Struthio camelus: one gene and its partners. The protein of the gene in region 4 purifies or fractionates together with the protein of the main gene of each other region. This does not show direct contact. Links are inferred from orthologs where the notes say so. Each region holds a gene or a part of one and is shown on either strand. Other genes may lie near its edges. The genes, in order: EXOC6, EXOC3, EXOC8 and EXOC1.

What was found.
Region 1: the proteins of EXOC1 (region 4) and EXOC6 purify together in Homo sapiens (affinity purification with mass spectrometry; 4 studies listed by BioGRID and IntAct, counting the BioPlex papers as one, with this or other methods). This does not show direct contact. The link is inferred for Struthio camelus from reciprocal best matches to the Homo sapiens genes EXOC1 and EXOC6.
Region 2: the proteins of EXOC1 (region 4) and EXOC3 purify together in Homo sapiens (affinity purification with mass spectrometry; 5 studies listed by BioGRID and IntAct, counting the BioPlex papers as one, with this or other methods). This does not show direct contact. The link is inferred for Struthio camelus from reciprocal best matches to the Homo sapiens genes EXOC1 and EXOC3.
Region 3: the proteins of EXOC1 (region 4) and EXOC8 purify together in Homo sapiens (affinity purification with mass spectrometry; 3 studies listed by BioGRID and IntAct, counting the BioPlex papers as one, with this or other methods). This does not show direct contact. The link is inferred for Struthio camelus from reciprocal best matches to the Homo sapiens genes EXOC1 and EXOC8.

Annotation. Positions count from the first base shown.
Region 1 is NC_090948.1:19,088,721-19,095,908, reverse strand, and holds the start of EXOC6 (exocyst complex component 6), read right to left. Parts: upstream 3,011-7,188; 5' UTR 3,002-3,010; coding exon 2,880-3,001; intron 852-2,879; exon of another isoform or gene 778-851; coding exon of another isoform or gene 695-777; intron 1-694. UniProt on the Homo sapiens protein: Component of the exocyst complex involved in the docking of exocytic vesicles with fusion sites on the plasma membrane.
Region 2 is NC_090943.1:75,388,941-75,396,117, reverse strand, and holds the start of EXOC3 (exocyst complex component 3), read right to left. Parts: upstream 3,010-7,177; 5' UTR 2,885-3,009; exon of another isoform or gene 2,825-2,884; intron 2,713-2,824; exon of another isoform or gene 2,315-2,712; intron 745-2,314; exon of another isoform or gene 658-744; intron 1-657. Other genes in the region: dynein axonemal heavy chain 5, read left to right, coding at 3,250-3,464, 4,452-4,639, 6,186-6,286. UniProt on the Homo sapiens protein: Component of the exocyst complex involved in the docking of exocytic vesicles with fusion sites on the plasma membrane.
Region 3 is NC_090944.1:91,124,668-91,132,290, reverse strand, and holds the start of EXOC8 (exocyst complex component 8), read right to left. Parts: upstream 3,011-7,623; 5' UTR 2,949-3,010; coding exon 1,434-2,948; intron 783-1,433; coding exon 174-782; 3' UTR 1-173. Other genes in the region: DNA-dependent metalloprotease SPRTN, read left to right, coding at 3,526-3,791, 5,360-5,459, 6,304-6,432, 7,321-7,588. UniProt on the Homo sapiens protein: Component of the exocyst complex involved in the docking of exocytic vesicles with fusion sites on the plasma membrane.
Region 4 is NC_090945.1:56,369,984-56,377,652, forward strand, and holds the start of EXOC1 (exocyst complex component 1), read right to left. Parts: upstream 3,011-7,669; 5' UTR 2,920-3,010; exon of another isoform or gene 2,673-2,919; intron 1,427-2,672; 5' UTR 1,417-1,426; coding exon 1,293-1,416; intron 483-1,292; coding exon 352-482; intron 1-351.

The DNA of each region.
Region 1 (7,188 bases), on a different chromosome or scaffold from region 4:
ATTTCCTGCCTCCGGGCTCTGCCCTGCTCTCCTCAGCTCAGGCCGGGGGGCACTAACGTCTTTCTCTCTGACAGGAAAGGTTAAGTAAAACCGTTTTGGTGTGTCAGCCAGTAGGGGAAAAAAAAAGAATTAGAGAGGAAAAAAAGGTATATGTACACACACACACACACACACATATATAATCACTGAAATTGTGGTGTTTTGAGAACGCTCCGACCAGCCGCCAGATGCCCAGGGCAGGGGACGCGGCCCGGCGCAGGAGGCCTCAGGCGAGCCTGCGCCCCTCCGCACCGCCCCGGCAGCCCAGAGCCGACCCTCCGCCCGCGCCGGCTCGCCCCGGGGCTCGGCTCCGGCCCGCTCCGCCGCCGCGGCAGCTCCTCCTCCGCGGGGGAGCCCCACGCCGAGCCCGACGGCCCGGCCCGGCCCCGCTCCGCCGAGGGGCCGCCGCAGCCGGGCGCGCTGACACCGTCCACCGCGGGGCGGCCCGGGCCCGGGCGCGGCGCCCCCGCAGGCGCGGGCGGCCCCGGCGGTGTCTCCGGGGAGGAGCTGTCAGCGCGGCTGCCGGGCCGCGGCGGCTCCGCGGGCCGGGCCGGGCCGGGCAAGGCAGGGCAAGGCAGGGCAGGGCGGGCCGCGGCATGGCGCGGCGGGGGGGAAGGGGGGGAGCCTGCGCGGCCGCGGCGCCCCGCGCCCTCACCTCAGGGTGGGTCCCACGCAGGCCGTGTCGGTGCTCTCGATCTCCTGCAGGATCCGATCATGCTCGGGCAGACTCTCCGCCATCTTGGATGGGAGGGACCCGGCGGCCGCGCCGCGGCGGGAGGCGCCGGGGCGGGACCGAGGGCGGAGGGAGGCGGCGGGGAGGGCCGGGCCGGCCGCGCCGAGGTGAGGTGAGGAGCAGGAGCGGGAGCGGGAGCGGGAGCGGGGCAGGCGGGGGAGAGGCAGGTGGATCGGGGCCGCGCCCGCCCCGGCCGGAGCCCGGCGATGGCCTTCAGCCCGCGGCGGCCTCTCCGCCGGCCCGGGCAGCGGGGACCGGCTGTCCCGGGCTGCCGCCGCGGCAGGGGGAGCCGCAGCACCCCGGGCGCTGCCCTGCACGGGCGGCTGCGCCGTCCTCGCGGTGCTGTTTTAGAGCAGCCCGTCAAGGCCGAGGGGGCTAGAAGGGGCTTTTTTTTTTTCTTTTTTCGGTGGGCTACTTGTGGGTCGTTCCTTGGGCTCGCCCGGAGCGAGGCGGCAGGTGCAGCGCCGCCAGCCCCGAGTGCTAGTACCAGGCCTAGTGCTAGGCCTTCCCCCCCCCCCCATTGTTATGATTATTCAGTTTAGACCAGCTACCTCTTCTCTGTCTTCGGCAGACAGGACTGGGGGGGCTGGGGCGCAGGTAAGCCGTGCTGCGGGAGCGCACCGTTTTGCGTAAGCATCGCCCTGCGTTGCTTCCCCAGCTTATCCGGTTCACTAGAAACTTGCATATTGTTTCCTGCATTGCTGTAGCTTGTCTTCGGCTGTCCTTGCGCGCGTGCACAATGGGGTTCCATTTTTCAATGAAGAAGGAATAACTCGTTTTCTATTTAAATTATACACTTTGTGGTTTGTGGCTTAAGATGAGCTAGTCCTTGGGTTTTGCATGTTCAGGAGACAGGATACACCTGCTTTCAGGGCAAAGTTAGCTGTGCACAACTGGGAAGCCAGCGTAAAGAGATAGGCCTTTAGCATGAAACTTCAGAGTGGTGTCTGGCTACTTTTCCCAAGAAAAACTGACAGAAGTTTACAGCTATATATGCACGTAGGTCTAGACAGCAGCGAGCTACAATAACGTTTAGCATCCTTCCAGTTATTGCAACCAAACTTACCGTATCTCCTGCCCTGGTGCAGCTACGCTTGGACGCTAAGTTAATAAATGGCGCTTAAGACTAGGTACATCTTGTCTGTGCTTGTAGTTTTATCATATTTGCTGTTGATTCAGCTGAATTTATTGATGGCACCTACTGAAACAGCAGGGAGTATTCCAAATGTAGACAAGTGCCTACAAAGTGTGTACTGCAGAAAGAAAATAGGAAAAATCCTACAGGCTCTCTCTGCAGTAGTGTTTCCTTCAAGAAATCACTCAACTGCAGTAACAATTTTCCCACGTCCTTTTTTTTCTTCTTTTTTTTTTTTTTTTTTTTTGCGTCACCAAATTACTTTAGTAGACTGACGCATACATTTTTCAGGGTAAATTAAATTTACTTTCTTTAGCCTGGTAGTCACTGCAACCCGATTCCTACAATCCCAGGCAGGCTATTTTTAAATCTTTTCTACAGATACTAACAATATACTTAGGCTCATAACATCATAATCTTTTATATGTTACTTCTGTAGGGATGAATATCCAAAGGATTTTTTTCAGTTGCGCTTCTACCATTAAACTATTTCCATAAGCTGTAAATTAAATCATATTAAAATCTTCAGATATTTAGGGATATCCCTAAGTTAAACTTTACTCCGAGTAGCTGTGCCTTTAGAGAGAAGGTTGCATTCAGTAAAAATACAAAAATTAGAAGCAATTAATTATTCTTAAAAAATGTAGTTGTCAACCTCAAACTAAAAGCACTCTGTTACACAAAAGTGATTTTTCCCTTGTTTTCATGTTTAAATGTAATTTCTTTCTTCAGAGAGAACGTGCAGCCCGCCTTCACTAACAGCTTTGTCCTGATAAAAAGAAAGAGTTGAGTTGAGTCTTCAGTTTATACTTTTTGATTTAGGGCCAATCGCATTGGAATCAAATACAACTTTCCTGTAGATGTCAGTGTCAAGATAATCAACTTTCTAATACATTGGGCTGACTGCAAGAACAGCTATAGAATGGAGCAAATCCATCATGAACGATATAATATGATCTAAACGATGCATACCTTAGCGTGGTTCCCAGAGGCAGCTCAAAGGACTGGATCTCAGCAAGGGCATTTTCGTATATCTGATCTTTGTTGTCTTCTAGATACAACTCTGACATATTTGACTTGCTTTTCCTCGCCATAGATGAGCATAAAAACTAGTCTAACTTTAGGAGAGGACTTTTATTCTGATTATTATCGTTGACTGAGTGACTGCAGTCAGCAAAACCAGGCATGAAAAAACAGATCCTGCGCTAACCTCGTGACTCTTGAGGACTTTGTGTCCAAGAATGGTGCACAGCTGCTGTTTTCCTGTCTCCGCTAGTAACATTTGCCTCGTACGCAGTACCCAGGCCTGTACGGTCTTTGTGTGTGTGTGTGTATTCCGTTTATCTGAATATGAAACTTACTGGCAAAAATAGTATTTCTACATCCTCACAGTAGTTCACAAGTAATAAGCACAAAGCCTGAAATATAGTCAATTTGAAAACACAATTTTAAAGTCATTTCAGACACTGGCCCACAATGCTCACTCTGTCTGTCAAGTTTTGTGAGGTTAAAATCATGTTTTTATAGAAGATTGAATTTTTCCTTTTGCTGTGTAAAAAGCCTGTACAAACAAGTAATTGGCGGCTTTTATGAAGCAGGTTTATGGACTTTATAAAGTAAGCTGAAAAAAAGCACGGCAACTTTTATGTTCTCACCTTTTTCATTTTTAGCATTAGTAGATGCTATTTATAGTAACAGCTTGTAAAGAATGCTCTAGGATAACTGATTTTTACATGGCTGTGTTCCCCTATGCAGTAAACAGTTACTCATTTATTACGTGCGTTGCATTCCTGCAGGGAAAAGAATGAGGATGGACTCCTACAACGTTCAGAGCAATGCTGATATCAGATAATTATGATAATGGCAAAAATTTCAAGTAGTTATTTGGAACAAAGGCTGGAGTTTTAGATCCTTCAATTTAGAAAACTTATTGGAAGTCTAATATCAGCCTTCTTTATTATATGGCACAGTCAGTCTTACGATACGTGTCTATTTTTGATTTTTCAAAGATTTTAATGAAAATGTAGCTCTTATCTCAGCACCGCTCCCGATGAAATTAATATGAGTTTTGACACTCATGGTGCAGTCAACAGTTAAATGCAGGAAAACAGAAATTACTGGTTCCGGACTTGGGCAATATATTGTTTATTCACTTCTCTGTGCCCAGCAGGAATACTGAGACAAGTTTACCTCAGAAAGTGCTCTAAAGGGTGCAATGTGTTACATGCATCCAAATTTGTAAAGTCTTCCCTTGAATAAGCGTCTTTAATCATCTGTTTATTTTGAAGCCAAAATTAAGCAATTGTTCTGTTAGCATGAATATTCAGCGGATTTACTGCTTTTGTGTTCTAAACAGCGCTGTGAGCTATTTTTACACCTTTAGCAAGAAATGCATGCCTGTGATTGACCCATCCAGCCACTGGATGTCACACAAATGCAGATGAAAGGATATCTTAACTACCCGTTCTCATCTTGACAGATGCTAGGTTAAGTATTAATTACTAATTATGTGAGGCTCCTGTAAAAGTAAATTTAATAACTGCAAAAAATATTGCACTGATTGGCATTGGTTTCTAATTTATGAACTCGTTTGTCCTAGCTCTGTCAGTCATACTACACTTCTGATTTAAAGTTAAAAAGTTCTGAACGATCATCCCACTACAACTTCCTCTGGATTCACCCCTTTCTTACCAAACTTGTCGCTGCATATACATGCTAGATGGATAGTTTTAGAAGGCTCCTTGCAATCATCTTGTCTTCACAGCTTTACAGCAGCTTCACTGCGGGTTATTGCTCACCTGAGGTAAAGCTGCTAATTACTGATGAATGAATTTCCTGTATTTGATACAATCAACATACATTAAACACAAAAAATAACAGCTTGCTGCAGCAGCGTCTTACCACAGTCTGGGCCGTAGATTTACTCTAAAGCGCTACACAGAAGCTATTGGCCCTCTTCTGAAAAGCACAGTGTGGGGCCGCAACACTCACCTTTTGGCACCTAATTTATTTATTTGATCAGGCGCTCTCCGTTCTGCCCATAGTCAAAGGGGAAAGACAGGGTCCTCCACAGAGCGATGTAGATCACCTACCTTAACCTCTGCTCTACACCTTGCTCCACCAGAGCCTGCTCGTCTCCGAGATGTCTGTTTTGATCCCATTGCCTTCAACACAAGCTGCAAGTGGCCAAGATTGGATTGTTTCCCCCAAGGGGCACTAGAATTGATCAACTTTGCTGATACATACACGTCGTTATTTTGCAAAGCTTGGTTAACTAAATAACGACGTGTACGTATCAGCAAAGTTGATCAATTCTAGTGCCCCTTGGGGGCATCTTACTCTTATATTGGATGTCCTGGAAAGAAGCACAGTCCTTGGATGCTAAGAATGTTTGGCATTTATCTGCGCATACCAAAAGTTATTTTTAGGCAAGATTTTGAATAATTTCTATTAATTTCAAAAACAGACTTGTAAGCATTTTATTCTTCCAAATAACATGGCTATCAATAAGATATGTCTACCCACTTTTATTTGGATGAACACTTGTTTATTTTCTTTTGCAGTGGCTCATGATAACATGGCCCATGATAGAAGAAAGTGCATCTGCTGTCGCTGTGGCTGAGCACAGGCGAGCTAGATAAATCGGAGATGCCTTGGGCATCACACACAGTGACTTGCAAGAAAAAACGTGATGCAGCGATGGGAGCATGAAGCCATATAAAGAGTGCTCTTGTGATTGTTTTTTGGGGGGATTTTAAGTGAGTTTGATACTTACAGAGGCTTTGGATGTAGTTTCTTCTATCCCAAAATCTTACACACAAGCTTACTTTAGAAATAAATAAACTAAAAAAAACCAGTGCTTTAATTTGTTGTACAGATGTTGTTGCAGGTATCCCAGCTGCCTGCAAATAAGTAAGCTTAGTAACAAAACAAAACAATGTAAAAAGGGGCGAACAAATACAAAAATGAATCACCAAGAAATATGCAAATCTGATTGGTTGTGGAACTGGATATCAGAGGTACATGGCTTCCCTTTCCCTTTGGGTGCACAGAGTTAGAGTGAACTGCACCTGAACTGGCCGTCTGGCGCGCCAGAGTGGTTTGCACCCGCCTTGAAATTGTTCGGAGGCTCCAGTTGCTGTAGGATCACGAGGTGGTGGATCTGTATCTGCTCAAGGATCCACGGGCTAGGGTCCATTATGGCCGATAACGCGCAAAGCTCTTTTTGCTGCAGGAGATTTTGCTTCTTCCCTGTGCTGTCTTGTCCAGCCTGTTCTGCTTCTCCATCTCCATCTTCTGCTGCTCCCCTCCTGTGCTTATTATACATGCCCAAAGTCTGTGTCTTTCAGTCATACATAAGCTTTACCTTTTTCCAGGTGAGTTCAGGGTCACTCTCAAGAGCCTTTAGGAAACTGCCTTGTCCAAGGAAGAAAACTTTTCTGAGAAATAAAAGAAGAAAAATGCTGTATTATGACACGGCACAATCTTTTAGTAGGGTGGTGTATCTGAACTGCACATCTATGCATAACCTGTTCAGTTATTTTGCCTGTACATTGTCAGCAAAGAATTACTACGATAAGTACTTAATAGTTGATTAATTTCTCTCTTTTTATTTTATTTTTGAAAAATGTACAAGATCCACTAAGCTGAAAGGGAGAGTAGGAATAATCATTTCTGAGGCTTGATATTGTACTGGTTGAAACCCAACTTAATCAAGAAGCCTGAGAAGGTATTAATCTGCTACAAGTCCTTGACTGGAAAAGGGCAGAATTTTTCTAGGCTTGTTAAATTCCAGCGATTCCTGTGAAGGAGATATTTCATTGCCTACAGCCTGCACAGCCAGAAACCCTCAGGGCCTGTGAGCTGTACAAATCGCAGCTGAAATCTCTCCAATCATCCTGAGATTTTCCTGGGCAAAAATATGCCCAGGCCAGTCAGGAGCTAAGGAAAATTGAGGCAAATAAAAACAAGATTGTGATGCAGGATGCAGAGGCTTATCCAGAGCAAAACCGCTTTCTCCACATCCTTTCTCTCTTTCCTTCCCCTCCAAGATCTGCTCTTCCTCCACCCCAAACTGTCTCGTGACTGGGGATACAGAAGGCCAAAAACTCCTGTTCCAATATTTCCACTAACATAGCCTCTGAGGTTTAAATCTAGCATGTCTGGGGTAATGCTTTAAAAATACGGTTTACTGATGTGACAATTACAAAAAGAGTAGTATGTACCATAATATAGAGTCATGCCTGCTGGGTGTATAATTCCAGCGTAGATTACTTTTGGT
Region 2 (7,177 bases), on a different chromosome or scaffold from region 4:
AATGCTGAACAGGCAAAGTTGCTGGCAATAGAAACAGACCTGTCCTTTCATGCTTCACTAGCTACTCATGGAAGACAGGAACGATCCCAATCACTGAAAATGCAAGAACATGCTATGCATAGAACTCCACAAGATATGAACATATCTGGAGTTCCTGGTTCCTTCCAGATGGTAAGAAACATTTTATATCTTGATTCCTGGAATCAAATAGGATGCTTCCAGGTTCTGCTCTGTTACTATGACAATCATATTCCGTCAAATCCATATTCTTCCTTGACATTAAAAACTTTCAAGGCACAGTGCATTAGTATATTCAGTAGATCACTTAAACTCTACATCTGTAATATCCTGACTCCACATGGAAGGCAGGAAATACTATATCACATTCTCCAACATCAGCACAATCTAGATGAGACAACAGAGGTAATGAGTATGTGTGTGGAAAACATTTAAGAACCACTTTTTTCAGATGGTCTTAACTGAAATCCTTATCCTAATTTAATACCTTTCCTGGTTAATATTTGGTGATCATACACAGGCTATATTCAAGAATTTTAAAAAAGACAGATTATACATTAAATTAACACATTAACAAATGTTAAATTAACACATAACCTTTGTATAGCACTTTTAATCCACTAATCAAGTCATTTTTACCTTTATGTTTCATAAGTACAACTTTTCATGCCAGCACCCTTAAACAGAAAAGGTTTAATTTCCATCAGGAAATTCTGGAAGAATAAGCTGTGTTAAAGACAAAAATGAACTATCAGCTTTATTACACGAAAGACAGTATGAAGAAACCGATCAATTTTCTGTGAGGAAGACTCACTAATCTGATTCCCTCTTCGCTGTTTTCAGCAAATGTAAGTTATTGATTTGTAATGCCGCCTTAAGATCTTCTGCATCAGCAACAGCTTACCAACTTAATTTGAGATCTGATGAAGAACCATACAGGGTGCACAGAACTGTGGAATTAACGCAAGTCTTACCCTAATAATGCCATGCTAGCAGCTATATTCCTCCACTACTACTGCACAGCATGGGGCCTTCTAACCATTGTAGGCCTAGGCATTGATATTACATAACCTGACACATAAGGTCTAAATCATCAGTCTAGAAAAAGTAGAGAAACTTGCAGGCAACGGCAAACATTTTGAATAAGTACTGCTGTAAAATTTGTTAAGGTCTCAGGAAGGAGAAAGAAGGAAATTTTAAAACATCAGTTTGATCTACAGTTAATTACATTTTAAATGCAGAATAAAGACCACGTTACTGTAAAGATATTATGTGTCACAGAACTAAAATTGTTTTAGAGTCTCGATTACATTTCACATCAACCTGCATAGACTTCTGTTTGAATTAATGGTTAACTTCCTGGTTTTACAGCATTTATTCTTGGATAACGTAACATCTCAGTAATAAAAAGCTTTCACATTAATATGGAGCATAAGTAACCTCTATTTTTCCTGCATTATAATAGTTTTAGCTTTATTAGAATTAGCTATTTTAGAACTTTGCAGGGTTAAGAAAGATTTCAGGTACAGTTAACCCAAAAGCTAGTCTATTTCTTTCTCAAGTTTGACTTTTTTATGATCAGCCTTCAAAAATTACATGTCTAAAGAGTGTTTATAACAGAATTACTTTTGCAGTATAAACTCATACCCTACTTTACCCCCTCAGCTTCGCAAACATACCCATCACTTCTCTGCTAATAACCCATTTACCCTAAATTAAGTTTGATTTCCTACTCCACATTTCAGAATAGAGGATCTACTCCTACCACTCACACTTTGTAACAAATACCCTATTTCTGTTTAGCTCAATCCACTCCTAAGCTGTCACAAACATATCTACAATCAAAAAAACCTGTTATTTTTAAATATGGACTTACTACAGAAACAGCATCTATGGCAGATAGTTTTATGCTGAATTACTTCCTTTATTAACAAATCTGGATACACTCAATATAATTATACTCTAACTCACAGAGCCACTATCCTGGTCTATTAAGTATGTCCCACAAAGAAAGTTAGAAGCCAGTATGCCGTAACACCCTAAGCTTAGGTAATCACACCTAAGCTGGTATGATTGCATACCAGCTTGCTAAGGTACACAGGTTGTACAACTGCTACCTATTCATATAAGAGCAAACGTTAAGAAACAATGCCAACCTTTACAACCTTCTGGCTACGAGCCAGAACCACACACATCCTCAGAGCTATGTGCTGGAACGAGACACAAAGACAGACAGACAAACAGGAAGGAAGAAAGCAAGCAAGCAATCTTGGAAAAGCTTCAGTAGCAAGCATACCCTCATCCCCTCATCCTCTGCACCGAGGTTCCAACTGTGAAACCAAGAAGCCAGCGAGCAATACCACCAGTTCCCAGGGGAGCGCCTGCGCCCCGGCGCGAGCCTCCCCACCACGCAGCTTCCCCTCCTAACACGGCACACAGGAAACGGCGGCGACCCCCGGCCCAGCCCCGTTCCCTATCGGGGCCGCGCAACCCGAGTCATCGGCATCGACGAAGGTGCCCGCTGCTGCTAGGCAAAGGCCGGAGACCTGCCCCGAGCGCGCAGGCCAGGCTGCGGACCCGCCATGGTCGCGCCCCTTCTGCCTCGGCGGAGGCCCGCGGACAGGGCTCCTGCGCCACAGCGCGCAGGAGGAGCCCTCAGCCCCTCTTCGGCCCCATGATCCCGAGAGGCTTCCCGGATCGCTCAGCTCGGCCCGGCCCCCCTCCACTTCCCGTTCCAGACTCGAGCAAAAGCTCGGGTCACTACAAACAGCGATAGCCTAGCAGGAGCCGACACCGCAGCGCTCACCGGCTGGGGCTTTGGCGCAGGGCCAGGGGTGGGAGAGCAGGAGCCCCAAACACTACTTACGGGCTCCAGCCTACTCCCCAGCAGGGCAGTGACAGTCACGCAGCGCGCAAGCGCCACGGTCACCCAGGGGCACAAGACCCGGCGCGCAAGCGCAGAAGAAAGCTCATCGCTTACCCACGACTAGTGGCTAGTGCGCATGCGGGCTAGACTTACCATTTCACCTGTTAGGGCAGCGGTCTGCGCCTGCGCGGGCTCGGAAATGGGGCGGGAAGGGGATGTTCATGCTTCTAAAAAGTCTACTCTAGGAGGGAGGTACCGCCTCTGGCTCTGTAGTGACGGTGGAGTGGCTTGCCTTGTTCTCGCTAAGTAGCCTCAGTCTGGTGTGGAGGCGGTTGTGTAAACGCGTATGGGTAGACTATTAAGGGATGCAACCTAGCTGGCGGGAGCGAGGGGACGCCGGCTGCTCCCTTATGGGGAGGGGGGCTTCGGTAGCCTGCGGGGCTGCAGGCCGCACCTCCCCCTCTTCCTCAAGCTTTGATTGTTTTTGCAGTCTTTCAGTTTTGAGGTGGCTGTTAATATTTTGGGACCTTAAGTCAAGGTTTTCAGAGTCTGTGAAAAAAAGATGTAGAAGCTTTGTCAGGTATTTAACGTTTCAGTTAAAATGGTAATATGTTGCTACAAAAGCAATAGGTCTTAGGTATCAGCTACCTAAGAACCTGGGAACCACGTGATACCTTTCAGCTCTATCTACAAGTGACTTTGCCCAGCAGAAAAAAAGAGAAAGTCATCATTCGATTATTTTTCTTAGCTGTATCTCTTCATATTTTACACAGAGGCCAGGTGGTTGTTATTTTGCCAAGAAGGGTTGTGTTTAAGAAGCGTTACTTCATTGCTGGGATACAGCTAGCTATGCCCTCCTGTGGCTCTTTGTATAACTCTGCTGTGTACATGTTTCCTAGCAACAGTGCGTTTAAGAGGCTCATGGAAACTATATCCTTAAAGATTTATTTCCTGCTAAGAGAAAAGTACGTTGCTTGAAAAAACAGCCAAACAAAAAAAAAAATCCTTGGGAGCAGTTACAAAATCAGAGCTTCACTGGTGGTGAGAGACTGGGGCAAATGAGGTGCCTTCGGGGTGCGAGGTTGTTAGCTGGGTTTGTGTAAGGGTTGCCATAGCAGCTGAGCAGGCCACGTGCACCCAGCAAGGCATCCCATCTGGGGGTGAGCAAGTGCCTCACCTAGCACTCTGTGCCCAAAGCTTTGCTTTGGACCTGCAGCGCTCTTAACAAGAGGGACCTTAACCTCTCCCTCAAAGGGTGAGTTCCCACCTCCAGAAATTTGAGTGGTCAGAGAAAAATGATAGTTGTGGAATTAAAGGTTTGTTAATGGGCAAACTTGAATGGGTTTTTATTATTCTGTAGATTGCCAGCTAAAGCTGTTTGGAAAATGATACTGGTTTGCTAGATCTTCTCCTTTTAAATTACCAAAAGTAGATAGAGGAAATGTTTTTTTTTTCCTCACTAATATATCATATGGGATGCTATAATGGGCATAAAAATACTGAAGATGTGGTTGGTCCTTGCAGTGTTACATTGTCCAGTTGTTTGTTTTCTGTACTGTTAATTTAGGTTATTTTATGTGGTGCTGGAGATGGAGGAGCCAGTGGGAGGTGAAACTGAACTAGAGGGAAGAGTTAAGCCTAGTTCTTCTCCTTATCACTTTGCACAGCGGGAATCAGAAGAAGAACCGAAAGAAACACAGCTTTCTTCCAAACCTGACATTGGTCTCTGTCCACCTCTCATTGCTATAAAAAAAGGTAAGGGAGGAAATATTGGCAAACACTTCATGTACGCTTTATAGGGAAATAACTTTTTCAAGGATAAAATGAGAAACTGATTATTAAGTACAATGTTTGAATTTATAACAGATGCCCATAAATGCTAGGCATATATATTTTGCATAGAGCCATTTTTCTGGAACTAAATTGAATAGTACTCTAAGAAAAGAATAATGGGGATTTCCTTAGCAAATAACTAGCTTATTCCTGAGCTTGTTGCATTTGTCGTAAAAGCTAGAACAATGTTAATGGGTTAGCATTCAAATAAAACTGCTGATTGTGTGGCATTTGGTATGGCATCTCTCTTTTGGGATATATTAACAGTGACAGTAGTTTTCAATAGCATACTCGGAGGAGACTTCATTTCAAAACAGACACAATCTACAAGAAAATTTATAAGGATGTTATTAGAATATTAATTTTAGTCACAATCTTATTATTTATGTTTTAGAATAGATTAAGCAATAGTTCCAATTAGCTCCAATTAAGCAATTAGTGAGTCACTAATTATCACTATTGCATGCTCTGTTGAAGATATTACTCGCTTCAAGGGATAGGACCTAAATATCATCATCTGAGAAATAAATTGGTTGCTTTTCTTGGAAAAGACCAAGCTGTAGTAATTAAAAATAGTATTCTTGGTGCCTTTCAATTAAATATTTTTAAAGACAACAAATACAATATTTCTGTTAAGGACAGATAAATCAATATTTAGGAATGCTTTGGTAATTAAAAGTAAATTAAAGGAGAGAGCTGGACAAAAAATGAATAAGGTGGCAGGCTGCAGAAAAGTGCTTGTACTAAGTATCAGGACAACATTAATAGTTTTATATGTTACTAAAACCACTTTAAAATATACAAATCATAATTTCTAGAAAAAAATAAAGGCATACAATAAATTGTTGATTAAATAAATCAAAGGGCTTCAAAAGCTCTTAAGGAGATTTAAGTGATCAGCAATGGATAGTTACACACGCTAATGATAAGTGTACTGTTTTCATGGCAAATATTAGCAGTCCCTATAAATCCTGGTTATCAGTCTTCTGCATCTCTGGCAGACTTGCTACTTGCAGATGCTTTTTAACAACTTGAGCGCATGGAATATCTGAAGAATAAAGAAGCAACAGCTGAGGAATAACTGAGAGACAATAGCAAGAATGGAAAGTGGCAATATTTCAAAGAGCCTGTGATTTTTTTCCAGAACTGACTTCTGCAAGCTAGTCCTTTAAATTGCTTTTTCTTACCTCTGCTATTATCAGTGGGGATTCCTTGCAAATTAAACTTGAGATAAAAACCATCATGAGACATTTTTTCTTATAGAGGCTTCTAAGAGTTTCTGCTGAGGCATAGTTTTTCTAGCTGTCCTTTCATGTCTAACTTTTCCTAGCCTGAGAAAAAAGGTTAGCCAGCAGATGTTAAGACAGAATGTGGTAACTTTTCCAACATCATTGCAGGTCTTGTAAATGCATTTATTGCACATATACCTGAATAAGAATAATTATAACTGGTCACTTCTTTGTCCTAGACGCGGAAAGTAAGCACCATAGGCGTAGAGGTGTCTTGAAGACAAGGAGCACTGAGCTAGGATCTGCTGTCACAGGATCACCTCTGACTGGTGCTCTTCTGGCAAGTGTTTTCATTCCAAAATGGTGGTTACTCAACTGCTTCGGTCTGTTAAATTTTCTTCTTTACAGGTTATTCTTGAAGTCTTCTTTGGCTGGCAGAACTTGACCCAGGACTGAAGGGTGCTGAGTTCAATTAATATCTTGTTAATTTCAAGGAACAAGAGCAATGAACTACTCAAAAGTGCATACGATCTTAGGCCCTTTACTTCTTGTGCTTACAATGTTATTTTGAGGGTCATCTACTGGTTAATCCCCTTTCTTTGCCAAGGTGAAAATGAATATTGGTTAAGAATATTTGAATAAGGTTATGTCTGCATCATCACATGGGAATATCTCACCTCATTTTGAATTAGTTAGCTTAATTTGTGAAATTGGTTTTGCCCAATCAATCTAGAGCTCTGAACAGGCCACTTTCACTAACGTAATTCAGATGGTGAAAATACATTCTCTTTCTGAATCTATTCATGATCTATGCACAGATGTTAGTTTAGTTTATGCCGTATCGATCTCACAATTTTCCTGCAAAATACAATTTTTAAATTACATACATAATTCGCTAGTGAGGTGAGATGATATCTGACGTCTGATATGTATAGGCTGTGAAAACAGTAAAGTATATTTAAAAAAATAGAAGCTTTTCTGTAACACTATCAGAATATTACACTTTTTTTTTTAAATCTCAGACACTATTTAGGTTATCTTAAATTATGTTTGGTCATCTAATACTGTCACTGTGACAAAGTGTCAGTGATAGTGAGACAGTACAGAGGAAACAACAGGCATTTGACATCTAGTATCTTTACTAAGACAGAAGAAAAAAATTGCTATCAAAGATACAGTAAAAGCCATATTTTTATGCTTACAGCCATTAGGTCTCTAAAAGGCATTATAA
Region 3 (7,623 bases), on a different chromosome or scaffold from region 4:
AAAAAAAAAGGTTTTCATCACTGCAGGTTTTGATTGCAAGTTTTCAGCTTCAGGAAGGTTGCAGTTAGACTTCCAAGTTTTTCAGGGATCCAGAAAAGATTTAGTTCATATTTAATGTACAACATTTTCTGTAAGCGCTCTCACACACTGTTCATGAGAACAGTTACTTGACTTCACACCACAGAGGTGGTACTTTCTGGATTTACACGCATCAGTCTTGAAGCATTTCTCAGATCCTGTAGCTGCTTGGCTGGCTTTCCCACTCCTTCCTCAAATCTTTTTTCCACAACAGGAAGGACAGTTTCATAAAGGAAGGATGCATTCTGCCTAATGAATGCTTTCTTCTCAGGGTCCTGTTCACACCGTAAACTGTAATCAACGTGCTGCACAGCCACGAGGATGATTTCCACCAGACTCTCCAAAAGAACCATATGCAGCTCTGGAAAGTAAAGCTTTAACGCTTCCTCCAAGAAGGCCATAGTCTGCTTAGTGAAAGCTACCACAGTATAGCTAAGGTTGACCCAGCAGTCATCACCAGTGTATTGGTCAAAATTGCCTACCCCGCAGCTTCTCATCTCCTCTCTGAGTTTTCCCAGAGCCTCTGGGGTCATTAGGTTCATCCTTCTCCACATCTCTTCAGAGTTGCGATGCTTGGTGGCCTCAATGATGATATCCTTATAGCTCTGCAAAGCACCTTTGATATCCTTTACCAGAAGGGCATGAATGATGAAGGTAAGATCCAGTCCAATCTCACTGAGCTGCTTGCAGTGCTCTTTAGCTACCTTGGGTATTAATGAAAAGTGAAGTGTGTTATCAGTTTGCATTCCCCCTTTACATTTTAAAAGTTTACCAAATTTTTCATTCTCAGAAAACCGGGAACCGTTAGTTATGTTTTACATGTTTCTCCTACCCTAAGAAACTCCTTTTTAATGGGAAATCAGTAACTGAAAGACAAACCTTGCCTGTCAAAAATGCCACAGACAACTACATTAGAAACCTTTTTTTCTTCCTATTAGCAGCTGAAAGATACCATAACCTGAGAAATTAAGGACTTCTTGAAGTCCTTGAAAAAAATTAAGGAAATATAGTCCAGTACAGGCTTGGAAAACACAAGTGTTCACAGTACTCACTGTTCAGATAAACTGTGTAAATTTAAGGATCTCCTACCAGACAAAGGCAAATTAAGAGTGAACACAGGTTTTCTCTTGCTCTGTACTTTATTAGTCTTAAATGCTTTTTTTTTTGGTTAAATTTAAAAAAAGCGCCAAACAAACACCAAATGAATGATCTTAACTCGTCAATGCAGGAAACTTTTTCAAGCAACATGCTCAAAGTCCGAGTCCACAACTGAGCTAGGGTTAGAAACGGGGGGTTACAAGCTTTCCCCCTTTTGCTTAGTCCACCATGCCACACCACCTTCCTTTCACTCTTACCTTTACACACTCTGCTGCAGTAGACAAGCTCTCTTTACTGTCGAATACCTGCTTACTGAAGGCATCTACAAACATCCTCATGGAAGAACGGGCCCACACAACGAAGGCAGAGTAGCAGCCATTGTTGCCAGCGAAGTCCGTTTCAAACTCTCTTGCTGTCTCTAGGAGGCTGGTGAAAAAGACATGGCAGAGTTTGTGGATGTAGAGCAGCGTGGCACCTTCGATGCGCAGCTGTCGGATGGCCGTATGCACAGCAGCCGCACGGTTCTTCAGGAAGAGCTCGCATGCCTTGGTGGACTGGCCCAAGCGAATGAGCTGGGATACAGCCCGGCGGGTGGCCCGTGGCCCTCCTCGCAGCGAGCGGTCCGGAGACAGCTCAAAGACCAGCACATCCGTGAGCTGCCGGACCCGCTCGTCCACCTTGGCCCGCAGCTCCTTCACAGGCTGGCTCACAGGCTTGTCCCCCAGGTACTCGTTAAGTTTATCCAAGAGGTCCACCGCCCCCTCAAAGTCCCGCTGAGCGATGCAGACGTCCAGGTCCTCAGGCAGCTCCTGGATCCACTCAAGGGAGAGGTCGACCATCTCCTCCTCGGCAGGGGGCTCCTCGTCCTCCTCGTCATCCTCCTCGAAGGGGTTAGTAGATTCGGGGGGTGTCGGGGCAGGCCGGGGCAAGGCCTCCTGCTCCAGGCGGCGCTTCTCGCTGAGGGCCCGGTTGCGCTTGGTCTCCTCCAGCACCTCCAGCCACTCCTTCTTGATCTTGGCGTTCTCGGCCTGGAAGATGCGGCTCTCAGGGAACATAAGCAGCTTGAACATGTCCTTCATGGGCGGGTTGTCCTTGACATTGACCACGGCCAGCCCGTCGAGGGGGTACAGGGCGTCATAGCGGTAGGCGCCGCGGCGGTTGGGCAGGGCCGTGGCCACGAGCAGGCAGTCGTTCATGAGGAAGGCGTGCACCCGCTGGATCTGCGCCATGTGGTCGGCGTCGTACTCCAGCAGGTCGCCGTTGTACACCAGGTACTTGCCGGGGCTCTCGGGCAGCAGGTCGCGGCAGCCCTCCACCTTCTCCAGGAGGGTGGTGAGGGTGCGCTGCCGCCCCTCCTCGCTGGCCGCCGCCTCCTTGGCCGAGAGGGGCAGGAAGGGGTCGGCGGCGGCGGCGCGGCGGGCGCCCAGGGCGGGGTCGTCGCGGTCGGCCTGGAGGAGCAGGGCCTGGGTGACGGCCTCCATGATGCCCTTCTGCTCGGTGAGGATGTGGCTGAGCTGGTACATCTCGCTCTCCAGGTAGCTGATCTCGCGCGCCGTCTCGATGAACTGCCGGTAGTTCTGGTAGACGTTGCGCTTCAGGCTCTGCGCCGTCTCCTCGCTCAGCGCCTGGATGCGCTGCCGGTGCTCCTGCAGGTCCCGGTCGCCGTCCGACTGCTGCGACAGCTGCTTCACGTACTCCGCCGCCACGAAACCGCCCGACTCCAGCTGCCGCCGCAGCCGGCTCCCGCCGCCCTCGCCCAGCGACAGCGCCATCGCTACCGCCACGGCGGCGAGGCCGCCCCGCCGCGCCGCCCCGCCACCAGCCCCGCGGCGCGGCGTCCGCCCTGCCGCCGCCGCCGCCGCCGCCGGGGAGACCGCTGCTGCGCCTGCGCACAGCGGCACGTACGCCGCCTGCGCCAGCATCGCCGCGCCGCCGCGCACGCGCGCTCGGCTCTGCTCGGCTCGGCTCGGAGCGACGCGAGGCGAGGCGCAGACGCAGGCGTAGAGCGGAAGCGCCCTCAGCCCTCGCGAGCGTGCGCACAGGGAAGGAGGAGTCGCGCGCCGGGAAGGAGGAGTCCCGCGCCGGGCCCGGCTTGTGCGCATGCGCGCAGCCGGGAGCAGCAGCGCTAGTGGGCGCGCCGTTAGGGCGAGCGCATGCGTAGTCGGAGCGGGGCGGCGGCGGCGGCGGCGGCGGCGCGTCGTTTGTGGCGCAAGGAGTGTGCGTCGGGGCTGGAGCTCTTTTGGTGTGTGCGTGCGCAGTGGCTGGGTGCCTCCTGGGCTGCGGCGGCGGCGGCGGTTGGGCGGCGGTTGAGCAGCTCGGGCGGTGACGCTGGCGTCGGTGCCGTTCAGGATGGAGGAGGAGGATGACTTCGTGCTGGCGCTGCAGCTCCAGGAGCTGTGGGAAGCGGAGGACAAGGAGGCGGCGGCGGCCGCCGCTGCGTGCCCTGAGGCCTCGTTAGACTCCTCGCTGCTTCGCCCGCTCTCGGTGGTGGACGAGGCCTGGGAGCTGCTGGACCCCAGCCCCGACGTGCACGGCCTCTTCGTGCAGTTCAACGAGGCGCTCTTCTGGGGGCGCCTGACGGCGGTGGAGGTGTCGTGGAGCCCGCGTATGACCCTGTACGGTAACGGCTGGGGGAGGCGGTTGTAGGGGTGGGGCTGTTTCGTCTGCCTGTTGGTTTTGAGGGTGGCCCTGTGTGGGGAGGAGAGCGCAGGCTCTCGGTCGCGTCCGTGTGAGTGCGCCCTGCCCCTCCTCGCTCCCGGCCCTGACGGAAAGCGGCCAGCAACGAGGCAGAGCCCTCGCTTGTGCGGGGAGCCGAAGTACTCGGGGGGCGCCCAGAAAAGGGCGCGAAGCGGCGGGGCCGGGAAGCCGGTCCTTCCTGAGCCCCTAGAGCAGCCATGGTGAAGCGCTTTCACTAGCGTCAGTTTTCCCACTGGCAGAGACTTAGGCTGTCATGAGTGAGCTGCGATGCTTTTCGTGAACAGTCCAAGCAGTTCTTAATTGCTGTGTCTGAGCCTTTGGAAAAGGTTGTGACTGATCAAGCAAACAATAATTCATCTCACGATACAGTCTTAGACTTTTGGGGAAAGGAGGAAAACCGACCTGTCGCTTGTCACTATATGCTGTTACTAACTATGTCTTAGTAGACTACACTTACCAGTTCCACAGCTTAAATTCTAGGTATTGGAGTTTCCTGTTTTTTCTAACATAGGTTGTACCTCTGCCCAGGATGTGGATCTGTCACAGTTGGTATCTATTTTGTCCTTCATTTGTAAGCTTGGGCAACCATAAATGGCTTTCTCAGTGTGCAGACAAAACTGTTATAGTGGAATAAATAAATTGGTCTTAAATTGTGTATTTGAAAACTTACTTAAACATATTTATATTGGTGAGTTTTTTTGTTGCTATTTTGAATTTCTTTTATAGTTTTACAGCATAGTAGAAAGGCAAATGTGAATAAATGCATAAGAGCATGTTAACAAGATTTAGAGTAGACTTAAAAAAAAAAAAAGATAAAAGCAGGTTGCAGTTCTGCAGCAGATCAGCTAATACAGTTGCAGGATGTTGGAGTCCCTCCCCCTCCTTGTCCTTTGCTGATTGCAGTGCTCTTTGCACATTTGGAAATATTTGAGTATATTGTGCTTACAGAAAACTAATGCAACAACAGCAAAATGTTTTCTGCTGTATTACTGTGCTGAAGTGACCATGTAAAAGTCCAGTAAGAGGCAGAACTGTGCAGCTGTGCAGGGGAGAGTGTGCAGCTGAGGGTTGAACTGCAGCAACCAGCAGCTAGGTCAGTGTTGGCTGCTGTGAAAGAGCAGCCTCTGTTTTATGTTTTTCACTCCATCTGGAGTCTGAATGAGAACGCTAATTTACCTCATGAACAAATGAGCTTGGAGCATTCTACTGTGATTTTTCAGGATTGTTAGCTTTGAATTAAGTGATTGTAAGACATCTAATAAATTACAGTTGAGCTTCTAGTAGCGCAAACAGCTTATTCTGAAGAATTTGCTTGTTTTTTGTTGGTTAATGAACTTGAGTTCTTCGAGTAGCTTCTAACAGTCTTTCATATTCTAAATTATTTAGCATGTATTGGAAGAGGCAAGCATTTTAACTCTTGATTTTCAATTTTCTTCATATATTACAGAATCAAGTAACTTATATTTTGTTTCTGCATCTCTTTCAGCTGTGCAGGAGTATGTAGCTATGAAGGAAAAGGTGGAATGTGTTCCATTCGTCTAAGTGAGCCACTTCTGAAGTTAAGACCAAGGAAGGATCTTGTTGAGGTATTTGAAGATTGTTCATTAATCTGTACATAAAATGTATTAACCCCTTCCCTGCACACACATTTTACATTTTATTATGGCGTTCTTATGAGCAGTGACTTATAGATTACAAAATAGCGGTGGCTTTATTGCTATGTTTGTGTTGCTTTTATGGGCAATTCTATAGTATTCTCAGTTGTATGTTTCTAAATGGAAAACTCTTGAATGGGAGTCTACAGTCACTTGTTTATTTTACTCACTTTATAAAGGGGGAAAAGACTTCTTTTTAGCTCCAAAGCTATCCTACGATATCAAAACCACAAATACACCCAGAAAGTTTGAGAAAATGCTTTAGTTTCGCCTTTTAGGTTAAAAGGCCATTAACAGAAAATAGGGCTATGGGTTATGACTGTGAACATACCTTTGCATTGCTTTTCGTGCCTCTGCCAGATCTGCTTATATGAGTTGCCTCAACATTTGGATTTGCTTAGTGAATGGAAGTGCTGCAGAGTTTCTGCGTTCTTCTCAAAAGTCTCTTTTGTTTGGTGGTGAGGAGGGGGTGATCTTCTTGAAGATCTGACGTTGAGTTTGGGGATTATTTCTACCTCTTTGGAGAATCAAATGTTAAAATAACATTCTTTAGCATGTTTAGGTTGTGTGGAAATAGCTGATTTGATTTGGCAGGTAGAATAAGCGTTATGTTTTTATAACCGAGATTGAACAAGTGTACGCGTGAGAGTAAGGTACCACGCAAAGAGTACCAAGATTAATGTAGAGTAGCATAAATTAAAAAGTGCTTGCAGCTTAATTTAGAAATTGTATGCAATGCCTTTCCGTAAATAGCTGATGATTAGCCTTGTTTCAGACACTGTTACATGAAATGATCCATGCCCTGCTGTTTGTTACTAATAATGACAAAGATCGTGAATCTCATGGGCCAGAGTTCCGCAAACACATGCGTCGCATTAATCGCTTAACTGGAGCCAATGTCACGGTAAGCACAATCCACTTAATGTTGTGTAATACAACTTTTTCCCTGTTTTAGTACCATGTGTTTGAATAGTCCAAATGTGGTATGATTAATACACCTGTATTTCTTAGTAGACACCAATACAAATTTACATTGGACTGCTTGCCAGTTCAGTAGTTATTTTGTTGGTGATGGTGAAGGGAACGTGTTGAGGAAGATGTGGAGGGTTGTTAGACTCATGTAATTATCATATACACCTTCTGAAAGTATTTTCCTTTCAAGTTTGTTTTAAACTTGAAGTACAGAAGTTCAGAATAATCTGTTTCAGTTAAGATTTGTCTCAATAGGAGCTAATGGGTGATTGAACATGGCATTTAAAATTCATGTCTCTGACGATCAATTAAGATGATGAAGTGAGAATTTATTTTGTTATGCTGTTATACTGCTCTTTCAGTTTGATTTTCAAAATCCTTATATTGTCTACAGTGCATTCTAAATAGCACATAACGTGAAAGTCATGAAGAGATTAAAAACAGGATGGTGGAGAGATGGAGAAGCTATTTCTCACAGTAGTGGTAGAAAAAACAATTGTCCAGGAGGGGGATAAGCTTTGGAACAATGCAAGTGCTTCTCACATTACAGACCATTTATCAGACTTCAGGTTTGTTACTATAATAAATTATGTTTATTTTGGGAGGAAGATGACACTTTGAGAAGGGCTTTTTGTAGTGTGTCAGTTTATCACCAGACGGACAATTTTTTTCCTTCCTGGCATGCAGGAGGACTTTAGCTTGTATTACAAAGGAATGGAGCACTATTACATTTTAAAGAAATGTGGAGCTAGTGATTAATCTCCTGACTTATAAAATTATACATTTTCTGAATTACTGGCTTTTTTCTTTTTTAACTTAGATTTATCATAATTTTCATGATGAAGTGGATTTATATCGCCAGCATTGGTGGCGATGCAACGGCCCCTGTCAATACAGAAAACCTTATTTTGGATATGTGAAACGTTCGATGAACAGAGCACCCTCTGCACGAGACTTTTGGTGGGTGGAGCATCAAGAGACATGTGGAGGTACATTTACAAAAGTGAAGGAACCAGAAAACTTTTCCAAGAAAGCCAAAGAGAAAACCCAGCCAGCAAAACTGTCAAATTCCAAGTCAACTGACAAAGGTATTCGACATAGTTCTTCTTTTCCAAGCTGTTCT
Region 4 (7,669 bases):
ACTCATTTCAAGGGAAACTAAACTTTTGAATCAAAATTTACACAGGACTTGAACCAGAAAAAAAGTACTGGTTCTTAGCACAAGTACTATACAGAACCTAAGAGACGCTCACAGTAAACTGGGAAGATATTCAGAATATTTCAATTCAAGCATACCTGCACTACTCAGACTCAGTTTACTAGGGTTATATTCTTGGGAAGGCTGGAAGAAAATACAATAAACATGTATCATCTTAAACCCAAATTAACACATTATCAGTCAAAGCTGTATGACAATGAATAGCCAAGTTAGCTCTGACTTGGAAGTAAAAGTGTCCCAAGTAGAGTTCGCACTAAAAGAAGTTACACATACTTTAACAGCATCTTTGGCATCAACCACAGCAAGATCTCGAAGCGCCCACGCAGTCTGTCTTTTGTAGAAATCTCCCTTGTCAGACTTTTTCACTTTTACCACGTTTACTTGCACTGGACGTTCCGTTGTCACTGTTAAATGAAGTATAAGAGCAATTTTGAAACACTCAAACTACATTAACATCTGTTTCTGCTATACTTAAGCTTATTTTATATCTGATGAGAACAGAGCCCTCGAAACAAGTTTCATCCTCAATACCCACAGCTCAGTTTAAATTTCAGTCATCCAGATGTGCAGCTCTGCACAGCTTCTCAAGTCCTGAAGCCAATTTATGCCTATTTCTTTGGTGCAGCAGAACTATGGCCGCACTGCCACATCACTGAGGGAACAAAGAAGTCAATGGAGATTCTAGCCTGATTAAAAATGCTTTCTGAGATTCGTCATAAAAAAAAAAAAAATCCAGTCAGCTAATTTACTGATAAGTTGGACAAAAGCACCTTCTTGGAAGAGGTGTAATATAAAGGACGTGCTCTCAAAGGAACATTAGGACTCAGTTAAAATCCTGTGCCTTTCCAGATCCCTCTGTCTTGGACTCTAACCAGCACTCCTTGCTGCATCATGTTTAGGCTGATCAGTCTAGAGATCTACTAAATCTCCTTTTAAGCACCATACAAGGCCTGCTTCACAAGCCCACCCAGTCCAACACAAATAATTTTGATTCCTTCCTTGCAAGTTACAATAAGATCTGAGAGTAAAAGCAAAGGGTTTTGTTTCTGTTTTAATAGAAGCAATAACAGATATAAGCTACAACTAATTTTTCCATTAAAAATGGAAGCATCTGTTTTATAAGGAGCGAGAATAAATATTGTACATAAAGCTAAGAAAAAAGCAAGTGAATAAAAAGGGTGAAAACAAAAATATCATGTGGTATTACGACATACCCGTGGCACATAAAAAGCAGTTTCTCTTCTTTTTGCCTGCTTTGCATACATTCACAATGCTCAACAGGCGTTCATCATTGGGAGTGAAAATATCCCTTTGTAAAGCATGCTTGATTGCAGTCATTTTCTCCCAGCTGAAAAATTTCAAAAATTCATACTACATTCAAGTAGACTGAGGAGGCTACTAAAACATACAATAAGAACATACGTTTAGGTATAGCAACTACAGTTTTTAAAAAATACATTTTACAGGTAATTTAATGAATCATAATCTAGACATGCATAATATAGATAGAAGTCCAACTATTTTTGGAATAAGTCCAAGATAAATTTTAACAATTAGTAACCCAAGTGCTTTGGGGGAAAAGGGCCAATATACCAAGCTGAAATCAGTACTGCTAAGCACTCAAGAGTTCAGGATATTCAAGAAAAATGCTGTTTATATGACATCTCTACGGCACTGTAATATTCCACCGTTAACGGCTTTCTAACACCTTTCCTCTCCTTTCAAATGCTTGGTCCAGCTTCTTCCAAAATTGCTTCAGGTTGTCATTTCAGTTATTCTTCAACAGATGTGTAAGATGAACACACAAGGTACCAACAGCCTGCTAATTTTGGAAATATCACCTTTCTCTTCTGGTCAGGACTTCACCTATTGCTCTAAACCACATTCAGACTGACTGCTGCTACTCACTGATCCTCACATTTTTGCTAAAGCAAAGTTTCTCAGCTGTGCAGAATACACCTTTCCTATAAAAGAGGAGACATCAATCCCAAGATCAGATACTTGACATATAGTCCAACTTCTGTTACTAGTTCAACACTGAGTCACAGCCCCAAAACCTTCACTGTGAGTCAGGACCAAGTACATTACTGCAGTCTTCATCCATGACTTACAACCCTTGCCATCCCAGAGCACAGAAGTAGATACAAGAAGCTGGAGACAAAGCTACTTCCTCAGAAAAACGCTTTGAGAGAGCTGAGCCCAATTCAGGCTCCAATAAGTCCCTTGTGGGATTGCTGGAATAATCTTTTCAATACGGTAATGCTAAAGCCTCTTCTGCATGAAATCTATCAAAGACATCATCTCACAGACAGGAAATATATAGGAGAGATTCAACAGAGCAACTCAGCCAGGCTACTTAATGTGCACTGCTTGGCCTCTCTACGTGTGCAACCAGGAAACTCTTAACACTCGTATATCGTATCAGGTAATAACCTAATGTAAGAGCGCGGCCTAACTGTAAAATTCCGGGGAAGCTCGTTCACAGCCAACGGTCAAACAAAAGACCACTCGTGTAAGAGGAACGCTCAGGAGGGTCACTTATCGCAGCCGCGGCTGGAAACCGCCCGTCCGACACCAGCCCCGCCGCCTCCCACCTGCGAGCCTTGCTGAAAGGGCCCCGGGCAGAGACGCGGACCCCCTGCGCGGCCGCTGGCGGCAGACAGGCGCAGCCCCGGCCCGCCCGCCGCTCCGGTACGGCCCCACCCGCGCCCGCAGCCCGGACACGGCCGCCGGGGACCGGAGCAGGCCCCTCACACCTAGCGAGGGGGAAGGGGCAGAGGATGTCGGTGCCGCTCCGGGAACAGGAGCGGCAGCAGCCGCCCGGAGCCGCCTCGCTCTCACCGCAAACCCCGGGCCGGGCCAGACGGGAAGGGAAGCGCCTCCGCCTCAGGACGCGGCGGCTCCGGCTCCGGCTCCGGCTCCGGCCGCGACCCTCCCCACCCCCGCCGCGCTCTGCCCCCAACGGCCGCCGAGCTGCGCCGCCGCGGCCCCCTCCGCTCACGTGACCCTAGCACCGCCCCCCCCCCCCCCAGCCTAGCAGCGAGACTACACGCTAGAAAGTCCACAGAGCGCCAGGCCGAGTGCGCGCGCGCGCCCCCTACCGGAGAAGTTATGCAACGCACCCGGGCGCCGGGGGGAAGGGGGCGGGCAACGAAAGAGGGAGGGGCGGGCGAGCCAGTAGGAGGGCGGGCAGCGCCAGGGGCGGGGCTGGCGAGGGCGGGGCCGGCGGCGGCCGTTAGGGCGTGTCCCCTTCCTTCCTCAGGCGGTGCCCGCGGGAGCGGCGTGTGGCGCGGCGGGGCTTGGCGGGGGCGGTGCTCAGCCGGCCTAGGCTATAAAAGCCTAGTGAGCGGGTAGGTGGCATTGCTAGGCTGAGGCTGTAATCGCGTGGTGGCTTTTAGGCGTTGCCTGGGTGCCCTCTAAATGTCTAAGCCTGAGGTGAACCCCTCTAGCTCCGTAGCCACTCTCTGGCAGGGGAAATGGTTGGGCAGGTTCTCACGAGGCCCCTGTGTTTCTCTGGTGTCTCGTTGCCTTGCAAAAAGGTGGTCCTGCTTCCTTCCCCGTGTTCCCAGGTGTATCTCCCTGAGGTGGTTTGTGCCTGCTTCTGAGGTGAGTTACTTCAGCTCATGAGAGCAGAACCTGAAAAGCTTCCTGGGAGGCTGAAGAGCTAGGGGGAAGGTGCCCCCTCCAGCAGCAGTGAGCTGTTAGGTTCGGCCAGCTGTTTTGTAAAACATAGCTGTCTGTGGTAATTGCAAGTCATAAAGTAGCAACAAAAATAATGCAGACATAATCTCTCTGTGTTACTAACTGTGATAGGTGTTTTACATGCAAGTATGAAGGCTGAACTCTTGTCCCCCAAAGAGTTTGTAGCTGAATAGTTAAGTAGTATCTTGGGAGAAATAACATGGATGGCACCAAAAGCAAAACTGATACAATGTCAGCTAGTTTCTGATGTCTCTTTTGTCATCAGTTGGCCTCGTGGCAGAGTTATTAAGAAGTTCTACATCTTTTAGGAGATAAATGTTTTTAGGGGAGGAAAAAGGCTCCTAGATGTTATTCTTTCCATTCACATTAGCTTTATTATATCTAGCATGGACTGTCAACCCTCGCTTCATGTATCCTCTTACCCTTGTTGCATCTTGGAATAGCCTTACCCTAGTTTATGTTATCAATGAATTAGGTTAAATACAAGTAGCACGTTCTTTGTTACAGGTCAGTGTTTTCTCAGATCCCTGTCTAGCAACTCTCTGGACAGATTGTTTTGAGACCTGCTATCTAAATAGTTGCTTCTTGCTGATTACCTGTAGTAATTTGTGATGAGCTAGAGAAGACTTATCAAGGATCTCTGTCTACAGATACCATGAAGCATCTCCCTTCCCCCAGCAGTTGACTTGCAGGAACAGGATGGGAGTTAGTTGCTCTTCTCCTCTCTCATAGCACTTCTCAAACTAGTGGAGGAGGTTTCAACTAAAATGTTTGAAAATTATATCTACTAAAAATGGCTCACTAATTTATTATCATAGATAGAATTTAGAGGCTAGCCAGAACTCAAGAATTGCTTCTCTTTCTCTTAAAACTGTGGGTGGATTTCTACTGAAAAATTCTTGGAAATGGGATGAACTTTCATAACACTGAATCCTAAATGCAATTTTAAATGTAAACAGAAGGTATTTGAGATGGTAAGATCTAAGCATGTCTGGATCCTTCTCCACAGCTTTTCAGGAAGTAATCAGTCGGTACAACTGTGTTCCATATTTACTGCTTTCCCTCCTCCATTTTTTTAAACTGATTAAACTGTTCTTATCACAAATGGATTTTTAGGTGTATGATACATTAAATGAATATTTCGCAACTTCTCTGTGGAGATCTAAAAAAACAGTACAGTCTTTAAAATGCTTAGTATGACCTAACACTTTTAAAATGAAGTCATGAAGTTTAAGTAATTAATACTCTGCACTTTTTGTTGCCTGTCATACACAATGCCTGAGAATTTAACCATTAATGGAGCTATGCATTTTCAATTTCAAAAAAAGGTGTGACCTTTACAGTGTACATAAAAGAAATGCAGATATATCTGGTACTGAAGGAAGTTTCTTAACATTGTAACATGGCAGTATTTCAGAATTTCAAGTGACAAAGAATTTTATATCTGATTGCAGCTGCAAGGGAACAATTATAACTCTAATTTGGCCACAGCATTAGGATTGATATCACTTCTTCTATGAAAAGCACTCATATTTTGGCTCTCCCCCGATCCCAAAGTGCCATTAGTAATTCAGAGTTTTTGATGCCAGTGATAAGTCAGAGGGAAAAGTTACTCTGTGACTAATTGTGACATCTAGCATTTGGAATATAACCATGAGAAATGATGCCCAAAACCGGGCTTAGCTACTTGTAGCCACCGTTGCATTCAGTGGGAAACCACCTTATAGCTCAATTATTGCTGTGAAGGAGGTTCTTCACATGATCAATATACCTCATTCATTTTTATCATTATTCATATAAATTAATATACTATTTTTTTGAAGGCCTGCGGGCAGAGTTAAGAGAAGACTGAAAACATTACAGATTACTTGAACTATATGATTTATGTCACGTTAATGCATCACTGTGGCTTTAAGGTATGATTGATAAAATCTATTAGCCAGGCCATTACCAATACAAAGCAACAGTAAATATATTTTCCAAGTTATAATAGTTAAGTTGCCAATACATGTGGATTTTTAACAGATAAAATGGTGATCTCATCATTATTCTATTAGCTTCCCGCTTGACTGAAAACATTAAATGTTACTGACCAATACAGTCTTGCTGCATGTACTTTTATTTTCTGACTTACAAAACAGCATGCTGTAGACTTCTTCTGTAATATATCATTCATGAGGGCCAAGGTTAAGAGAGAAGTTACAGTTTGGTAATTTTTCAGTTCACCCACAAAATGAAACTGTCTTTGCCTGGATCTATAAAGACTAGACAAAGCAGCCATAAAGGATTGGATAGGTTTGCATAAAGCTTTTACTGTTAACAGTCCAAAACCCTCCTTGTTTTCTGTCTTTAGCTGTTCATTCTGCTTCAGTGCAAAAAGCAAGATTTAGTTGGTTAATGCTAAAATGTGGTTATACTTGTTAAAACAGTCATTATGAGATCATTTTACAGTATGCACAGTGCCATTCTCTCTCTCCTCCTATTTCAGCTTCCCATAGATTCGATCTTCCAATATGAGCCTTAACTTGTGAAAAAATATTCCAAAATTACATATTACAAATTACATGATACACTCCCATTTTACTGGGAGAAGATACAACAGTTATACTGTGAAACTAACTGAAAGTATTGGGGAATAGGCAGGTGACAGAGAAAGAAGTAGTATGAGGAGAGTAGTGGCATACTTGGGATGAGATGAGTCAGTATATGTGTGACTCCGGTATGCAAAGGAGAACAAGAACTTGAAGTAACAGAGAAGTCAGTCTGGAGCAGGCCCTGGTCTGTTTCCCTTCAGAAATGGCTTTAAAAAGTCTGCTTTGATCCAGGACTGAGCTTTCCTGGTTTTAGACCTGTGGATTGGGGGCAGGAGGGAACAGAAGCATAAGTTCCAGCCTTAATGAGAAGTAACTGTTCATTTTCCATATTTTCTTTATATAGAATGTAGGAAAAGATTAGTTATCAATGAAAGATAAACATACAGGAAGAGAATTCTTCTGTTTTAAATATAAGCTCGAGGCTCTTAGCTGGTGCAATGTTATCTTGCATCCATGAATACCAGTGTAATATCACCAGTGTATTTTTTGTTGATTTGGCACCATCTTCTCTAAATGTTGATATTAAGTGCTCTTTGTAGTACAGAGCTGCAGGAAATTTATGAATCATTTAAGTACAGAAAAAAGGAGATGTATATGATATCAGTAAGTATTACAAACAAAATATTCCTAAATCCTTTTTCTTTCCACCTGTTCTTATTTCTGATACTGGTTTAAAAGTTAAAATACAGGATACTTCTTAGGACAAAAAGCATCATCCATCTTTTATGAGAGATTCTCTTCTCTCTCTGCCTCTTATCCAAGTATGCATAAAAGTCGTCTTTGTTCATTATCACGCTTCTTTACTTTCAGGCTGCTAGATTTTTCCTTTTCTCTGGAGCACAGATAGGGCAGATAGCAATTCCTGTATTCTGAATGTAGTCTACATAGAGTCTTGAGTAAGAATGCACTCCATCATTTAGTTGACACCTTTTATAGGAATGCTACAAAAGCATTTCTGATTATCCTTTACTCTCCTATAAGTTTCTCCCTATTCAGTTTTGGAGAAGTCTTCCAGAAGAAGCAGATGAATCCCAAAATACTGTTTTTCAAACTACACTGTATAACCAAAATCAGGAAATGTGATGTAGAAAACAATTTTGAAAGATAAATCAATTCAAAGATTGGCTATCTAGCCTGTCAGTTTTTTCTATTTAAAATTTAGCATATTCTCTCTCTCATGTGCCCCAGCTGTGCGATACTAACCACAAAGTGAGTCTGCCGCACCTCAGGACACAGACTTTCTACAGTGCAATCAGATCAGCCTAGCAATACACAGTGTGTTTGATATCTTTATA